Macaca mulatta: one gene and its partner. The protein of the gene in region 1 purifies or fractionates together with the protein of each later gene. This does not show direct contact. Links are inferred from orthologs where the notes say so. Each region holds a gene or a part of one and is shown on either strand. Other genes may lie near its edges.

The links. Proteins that work in one complex are often made in the same cells at the same time.
Region 2: the proteins of HCK (region 1) and HSP90AB1 purify together in Homo sapiens (affinity purification with mass spectrometry; 3 studies listed by BioGRID and IntAct, with this or other methods). This does not show direct contact. The link is inferred for Macaca mulatta from reciprocal best matches to the Homo sapiens genes HCK and HSP90AB1.

Annotation. Positions count from the first base shown.
Region 1 is NC_133415.1:84,924,035-84,926,952, reverse strand, and holds the end of HCK (HCK proto-oncogene, Src family tyrosine kinase), read right to left. Parts: intron 1,060-2,918; coding exon 857-1,059; 3' UTR 520-856; downstream 1-519. UniProt on the Homo sapiens protein: Non-receptor tyrosine-protein kinase found in hematopoietic cells that transmits signals from cell surface receptors and plays an important role in the regulation of innate immune responses, including neutrophil, monocyte, macrophage and mast cell functions, phagocytosis, cell survival and proliferation, cell adhesion and migration.
Region 2 is NC_133409.1:137,866,851-137,871,082, reverse strand, and holds the start of HSP90AB1 (heat shock protein HSP 90-beta), read left to right. Parts: upstream 1-1,392; 5' UTR 1,393-1,492; intron 1,493-2,891; coding exon 2,892-3,038; intron 3,039-3,650; coding exon 3,651-3,857; intron 3,858-3,960; coding exon 3,961-4,120; intron 4,121-4,232. UniProt on the Homo sapiens protein: Molecular chaperone that promotes the maturation, structural maintenance and proper regulation of specific target proteins involved for instance in cell cycle control and signal transduction. Undergoes a functional cycle linked to its ATPase activity.

The DNA of each region.
Region 1 (2,918 bases):
TCCTGATCTCAAGTGATCACCCACCTCAGTCTCCCAAAATGCTGGGATTACAGGCATGAGCCATTATGCCTGGCCCAGTAACGTTATGCAGTTGTGTTGCCTTAAGCCACCAAATATGTGGTAATTTGTTACAGGAGCAAGAGGAAACGAATACAGCCAGCAACTATTTTAGGACAGTTAGAAAACCTCAAGTATCGAACCCCACTTTTCTTTCCTTTCTTTCTTCTTCTTCTTCTTCTTTTTTTTTTTTTTTGAAATGTGGTCTCACTCTGTTGCTCAGGCTAGAGTGCAGTGGCATGATCATAGCTCACTGCAGCCTCGACCTCCTGGGCTCAAGAAATCCCCCGCCCCTCAGTCTCCCAAAGCACTGGTATTACAGGTGGGAGTCACTGCACCCAGTCTGAACCCCACTTGTCTTTGTACTTCTGGTCCCCAGGAGAGTCCGTCACACTTTCTGACTTGTCATACAGCAAGATGGCAAATAGATATTCAGGAATTGGAAGGACAAGAAAACCAACCTTTTGGTAAAGACTTTGGCATTTATATCTTTTATTTAAATATTCATTTCACTATTTTGAAAGTTTCCCTTCCAAATCACAGCTGTAACTAAAATCCAACCATTCCAGGAAATAGAAATATCAACTTGGGGGCTTCCTGAGAATGTCAGATTGTGGATTGCGAGAGTCAAAAAGAGATTTTCCAGTCCAACCCACTCACTGGACAGATGAGGAAACCGTGGCTGAAGCGAGGGTGGGTGTCTGGGAGTAGGGAGGGGGCGTGGGCCCTGGTGGATGGTGCTGGAGCCACCTTGCAGCCACCACCTGGGCACCCCCTGGCCCTACCCTGGTCCTCCCCATCATGGCTGCTGTTGGTACTGGCTCTCTGTGGCCGTGTAGAAGTCATCCAGCACACTCTGGATGTATTCGAAGGTCGGCCGCTCCTCCGGACGGTTCTTCCAGCAGCGCATCATGATGTTGTAAAGCTCCTCTGGGCAGTTCTCCGGGCGAGGCATCCGGTATCCACGCTCCAGAGCTCGGATCACTTCGGGGTTTGACATCCCTGAAAAGGAGCCGTGGAATTAAAAAAGGAAGCAGTTGGGAAATGAGAGCCCAGGGGTGGCAGGTCCTGTGGCCCCCCCCAGCAACCATCACTCCCCACCTCGCTCGCAAGCTGAGCCCCTCCCACTGTGAAAGCCAGAGACTTCCACCCTCAGCTTCACTTGCAGCTAGGTCATAGGCCGGGGACCCAGTTTGGGCCAATGGGAGCGGATGGGGAGGTCTGCTGGGAGAGTGCCAGGAAAGGTTTTCCTCCCGCTTAGAGGAGAGGCTTTGGAGAACGCACCCTTCCTTTGAACACTGTGAGATACTTATGATACTTGGAGCTGCAACAACCATCTGACAACATGGAGAAGACCATCACAGAGACAGGAACCCAGAGTCCTGACAGCTGCTGAACTGCTGAACTAACCAGTCACCCATGGCAGATGGGGAGTAATAGCTTGCTTCTGTTTCAGTTACTCTTTGTCTGTTATTTTGTTGCTTGCTGCGGAACACATCCTAATGGATTTAGCTTCTACTGTGTGTTGCCTAGTTTTAACTAGTGCACCCTCAAGACAAAACAGTCAGGTGGTCAGATTCAATGTCAACCTATGGATGGGACTATTTTCTTGTTCAATTTAAGTTTTTATTAGTTATTCATAAGAATAGCCATTCAATATCTGTGATCCCCAATTTTATATTATCAGTCTCAAACTCCAAACTCATGAACTGAAGTGCTTCCTTTACTTGGATGTCTCTATACTTAAGTCATCTCAAACTTAACAGAGCTAAAACAGAGCTCTTCAATTTCTGTCCCTAGACCATTACCCACCCTATGGTGCAAAGCCAGGGTAATCATCCCTGATTCTCTCTCTCTCACCTCCTAAGTCAGCAAGTCAAATCTTCTCTTCTTTTGAAACGTAGCAGCAGTTCATCAACGTATGCCAGTCACGAATGCCACCACCCTGTCCAGACCATCATCACCTCTGCCTGGACCACTGCTGTGGCCTCCTCAATGGCTGCCACCCTGTTCCCCTTCCCTCCCATTCACTCTCCACGCTGAACCAAAACATTGCTTAAAAATGGAAATCACCAGCCTGTCAACATAGCAACACCTTGTCTCTCAAAAAATTTAAAACATTAGCTGGGCATGGTAGTGTGTGTCTGTAATCTCAGCATTTTGGGAGGCCAAGGCTGGAGGATTGTTTGAGCCTGGAAATTAGAGACCAGGCTGCGCAATGTAGTGAGACCAAGTCTCTACAAAAAAATAAAAAATAGCCAAGCATGGTGGCACATGCCTCTGGTCCCAGATACTCAGGAGACTGAAGTGGGAGGATCACTTGAGCCTAGGAAGTCGAGGCTGCAGTGAGCTATGATCGCACCACTGCACTCCAGCCTCGGTGACAGAGTGACACCTTGTCAAAAAAAAAAAAAAAAAAAAAAAAGAAAGGTGGAGAAAGGACAAGATCTGATTCACAGTTTAGAATTATCCTGGCTGTATGTGGAGAATAGGCTGTAGGATGAGGAGGGAGAAAGCAGTAAGACTGATGAGGAGGCTGCTGCACCATCTATGGGAGACGACACTGGCCTGGATGTAGTGGAGACTGTGGGGTTCAAAGTGGTGAGACGTGGAATATGTTTTGGAGTTGAGTGGCCAAAATCTTGTGACTGCTCCATTGTCACAGGGGTGCGGACAGGCACGGTGGCTCACGTCTGTAATCCCAGCACTTTGGGAGGCCGAGACAGGAGGGTTACCTAAGGTCAGGAGTTCGAGACCAGCTTGGTCAACATGGTAAAACCTCATCTCTACTAAAAATACAAAAATTAGCCAGGCATGGTGGCGGGCGCCTGTAATCCCAGTTACTCAGGAGGTTGAGGCAG
Region 2 (4,232 bases), on another chromosome or scaffold:
AGGGGTGGGCCAGGAAGGGGACTAGATGGACATCTACAGGGCACAGAGCAGGGAGCGGCTATTCTCTCCTGGAGGGGCTGTGGGTCCAGCAGGCTTTCGGATGACGCCTTGGAAAGGCAAGGACAGCTTGCCGACTGGAGGGCAGGCAAAAGGGCGGAGACAGGCCAGAGACGGCGGCCGCAGTTCACTGACCAGGAGTATGGCCTAGGGGTTCTGGTGCCAAGGCTGAAGGGGAACAACTTGGCCAGCCGCTCTCTGGCCGGCGTCTTCACGCGGCCTCCAAGAGCTCCTGTTGCCCTGCAGTGGCTCCTAGAGACTCCCTCCTTCCCACGTCCAAATAGCTGCAGGAGGGAAGTGGGAGAAAAAAAGCGAACCAGCTTGAGAAAGGGCTTGACGTGCCTGCGTAGGGAGGGCGCATGTCCCCGTGCTCCGTGTACGTGGCGGCCGCAGGGGCTGGAGGGGGTCCCTCCCGTAGCGACTCCAGTCTCAGAGTGCAAAACGGTACGCCCGCAGAGTCGCCCCAGGTGCTTGGGTGTTGTGTGATTGACGCGGGGAAGGAGGGGTCAGCCGATCCCTCCCCAACGCTCCATCCCATCCCTGAGGATTGGGCTAGTACTCGCGTCGTCTCCGACAGGTCAGAGCCGGTCCCCGGGTGGGGTCGCTGCAAAAACCCTGCTCTGGCCGCAGCCGGAGAGGCGGAGCCCCGCGGGGAGGGGGCGGGCGGGGGCGGGACCGCCGAGACAGGCCTGGAAACTGCTGGAAAGCCGCAGCGCCGCCGCGCCTTCCGCCGCATGCCGGCAAAGAGTCCCGCCGGCCCCGGCCGGCGCCCTCCCCCCACGCTGAGATACCCCACACTGCGAACCCTCCGCCCTTCCTCTGCTCCTGGGAGAGTCAGGATCTGGGGCTAACCAAGGTCGGGTCCCGAATGCCAGTCCCTCTGTCGGGATGCGAAATGTGTAGGGCATATGCTAGGAAGAAGATTGGGTATGGGAGCAGCGGTCGGAGTGGTTAGCTGCCTCGGCTCTTTTTAGGTGTTTCCCCCGGGCTCTGTCCTTGGGTGTGGGGACTCCTGCCTCACAGGTTTTTAGGGAGGTCAATGGATTCCTCGCCCGTAGAGACACCGTATATGCCAAATGAGCACTCCTTATCCCAGCTCTTGATGGGGTCAGGTCCTAGACATGAAGATATGGGGCTGTGATCACAAGCAAACGTGTGGGTGGATCCGTTGCTTGGGTTCTTCCCCGCCCCCTCCTTTTTTCGGACCATGACGTCAAGGTGGGCTGGTGGCGGCAGGTGCGGACTTGACAAGCATGCTCCTTTAAGGCGGAGGGATCCACGGGAGGGCGGCTGTTCTGTGCTTCGCCTTATATAGGGAGACTTGGGGCACGCAGTAGCTCTCTCTAGTCACTCCGGCGCAGCGTTTTGTGCCTGGTAGTCATCAGAAAGCAAGCCCACGTTCTTCTCTAATACGTGTAAGCCTTTTCTTTTCAAGGTAAGGCTGAATTCTTCGTTAGGCTTCTTTAGTGCTCTTTCGTGTTGCTCTTGTTTTTTTCTGTCCTTTAGGGAGCCTAGATACCGGGGTGGCTTGTGGATAACGCCCTGGATTTTTATAGGGTGAGGGTAGTGGTAGGTGAGGGCTCTTGAGTTTTCCTCGGTTTTCTCTAGTGTGCTTGGGCGGTGGGGCTTTCTCTTGGCTCCTCCTAGCCGTAGCGAGGTGGGCTGTGGGGCTGGGGCAGTGCGCGGCGGGCAGCTGCACGTGGTGGCCGCGCGGCCCGGGACGCTGCCATTTTTGCCCCTCCACTTCCGGACGCGGCTATAGGGCGTCGGAGGGGGACCGCAGGATGGCGGGGGTGCCTGCTCGGGTGACTCAGCACGGCCCTGTGGGACTGGCTTTGCCACATCTCTTATCGGACGCGTTGTTAAAGCCGCCTTGGGTGCTTTGTTTCTGTGAGGGTTCATGGTGTGGGAGGAGCGCTTTCGGTCTCCAGCACCCCATACTCCCTCCTTCCAGATCTTTATTGCAGTCCCGGTGGAGGAGGGTTGGGGAGGGGGGCAGGTTCTGGAAGATTCATGGGCTCCCTCCTCCGCCCGTCCTCTAGAGCTGAGATTGTTCTGGAAGCTTCTGGATTCTGGCGCCCCGCCCCAGTGCCCGGATGCTGGGGCGAAGGAGGGTGCACGGCGGCGCCCCCTCCTCGCGTGGTCCCTGCCGACGCATGTCCGGCAGTGACGAGTGTCGGCCTGGTGGTTACGGCCACCATCTTCCTTCTGTTGGGTTTGGGCCTGTTCTGTAATTTTGTCCTGTGAAGGGGTCGTAGTGGAGCTTTTGGCTTATCGATTCTTTGTCCGGATTTAATTGCCCCTCGGGCGGGTATCCTCTGGATCCCAGGTTATTCCTCCCTGCAGTGTAGGGTAGGAGTGTCCCGCCCTTGGGCTGGTCTTAGGAAGACATCTCAGGGGGAGCAGTTTAAAGTTAGTGCCAAACTAGTTACTTTGATCTCCAAATGAAGAACTGTAGGTAGCGATTTTCACATTTAAATTTGTGTAAGGATTATCTGGGATCTCTGGATACCTGGGTTGGACCAGCATTATGAGTTTCTGCCATACTACCGGATGACGCTGAGACTGCTGGTCACCACTCTAAGTAGCTGGGTTCTGTGACATTTGGTTGAAGAACATTCAGCTTATTTTCTTTTTCCTTCTGAATTTTCAGGCTTCCCACTTAGTGTGTAGCCTGAGATCTTTTAAGAGAATGCTTTTTCGGTCTTTTCGGAAGGGATAGTACTCAGGTCAAACCAGTCTCAACTCTTAAGGTCCTAACAAATGAGATGACCTTTAGGATTTTAAAATGTGAGGCCTTCATGTTTTGTAATTAATGATCATTTTTATTTTAGATGCCTGAGGAAGTGCACCATGGAGAGGAGGAGGTGGAGACTTTTGCCTTTCAGGCAGAAATTGCCCAACTCATGTCCCTCATCATCAATACCTTCTATTCCAACAAGGAGATTTTCCTTCGGGAGTTGATCTCTAATGCTTCTGATGTAAGTGCTGTGGTTTCTATATTTGGTGTGTTTATTTTTTTGACACTCTTCGTAGAGAGGAAAGGAGTGGTTTGGCCTTTGTTGGGGACTACTATTGAAGGGGGTAAACTTGCAACTATTCCAAAAAGATTTGTCTTATTCTCTGGCCATCTTGAACTTGAAAGGGAAGTGACTATGTCCAGAAAAAGTGGGCTCATGTAACTAACTGTAGTTCTAAAGCCTCAAGATAAGGGGCAATCAGATTTGAGGCTGAGAGAGGTAAACCAAGATTTTCTTTGAAGACACGGGCTTTAAGAAAGCAAAAGTGACCGAGCGTGTTGACTCACACCTGTAACGCCAAGGCAGGAGGATCACTTGAGCCTAGGATTTCGAGGGCAACCTGGGCAACAGCCAGACCTTGTCTCTGCAAAAAATTAAATATTAGTTGAGCACAGTGGCATGTGCCTGTAGTCCCAGCTACTTGGGAGGCTGGGGTGGAGGATGGCTTGAACCAGGGAGGTCAAGGCTGCAGTGAGCTGTCATCCTTGCTACTACTGCACTGTAGCTTGGGCAACAGAGCAATTGCCTGTCTCGGAGAGAGCAAAAGTAAGTTGCTGTTTGTATTCGTTTCAGGCCTTGGACAAGATTCGCTATGAGAGCTTAACAGACCCTTCGAAGTTGGACAGTGGTAAAGAGCTGAAAATTGACATCATCCCCAACCCTCAGGAACGTACCCTGACTTTGGTAGACACAGGCATTGGGATGACCAAAGCTGATCTCATAAATAATTTGGGAACCATTGCCAAGTCTGGTACTAAAGCATTTATGGAGGCTCTTCAGGTACTGCAGTTCTGTAGGCATACACCATTCATATTCATCAGTGTTCTTTATTTTTTTTGCTGCTTTAAATTTTGTGTTTGACTTTACAAAAACTTGTTGGCAGGCTGGTGCAGACATCTCCATGATTGGACAGTTTGGTGTTGGCTTTTATTCTGCCTACCTGGTGGCAGAGAAAGTGGTTGTGATCACAAAGCACAACGATGATGAACAGTATGCTTGGGAGTCTTCTGCTGGAGGTTCCTTCACTGTGCGGGCTGACCATGGTAAGTTAGCTTTTCTGTTACAAGGTAGCTGGGTTAGAGTTTTGTGGGCTCACCAGTAGCAGAAATTTTGAGCATCCTGTCAAGCAGTTCTTCATAGCAGTTCCGCTAATAC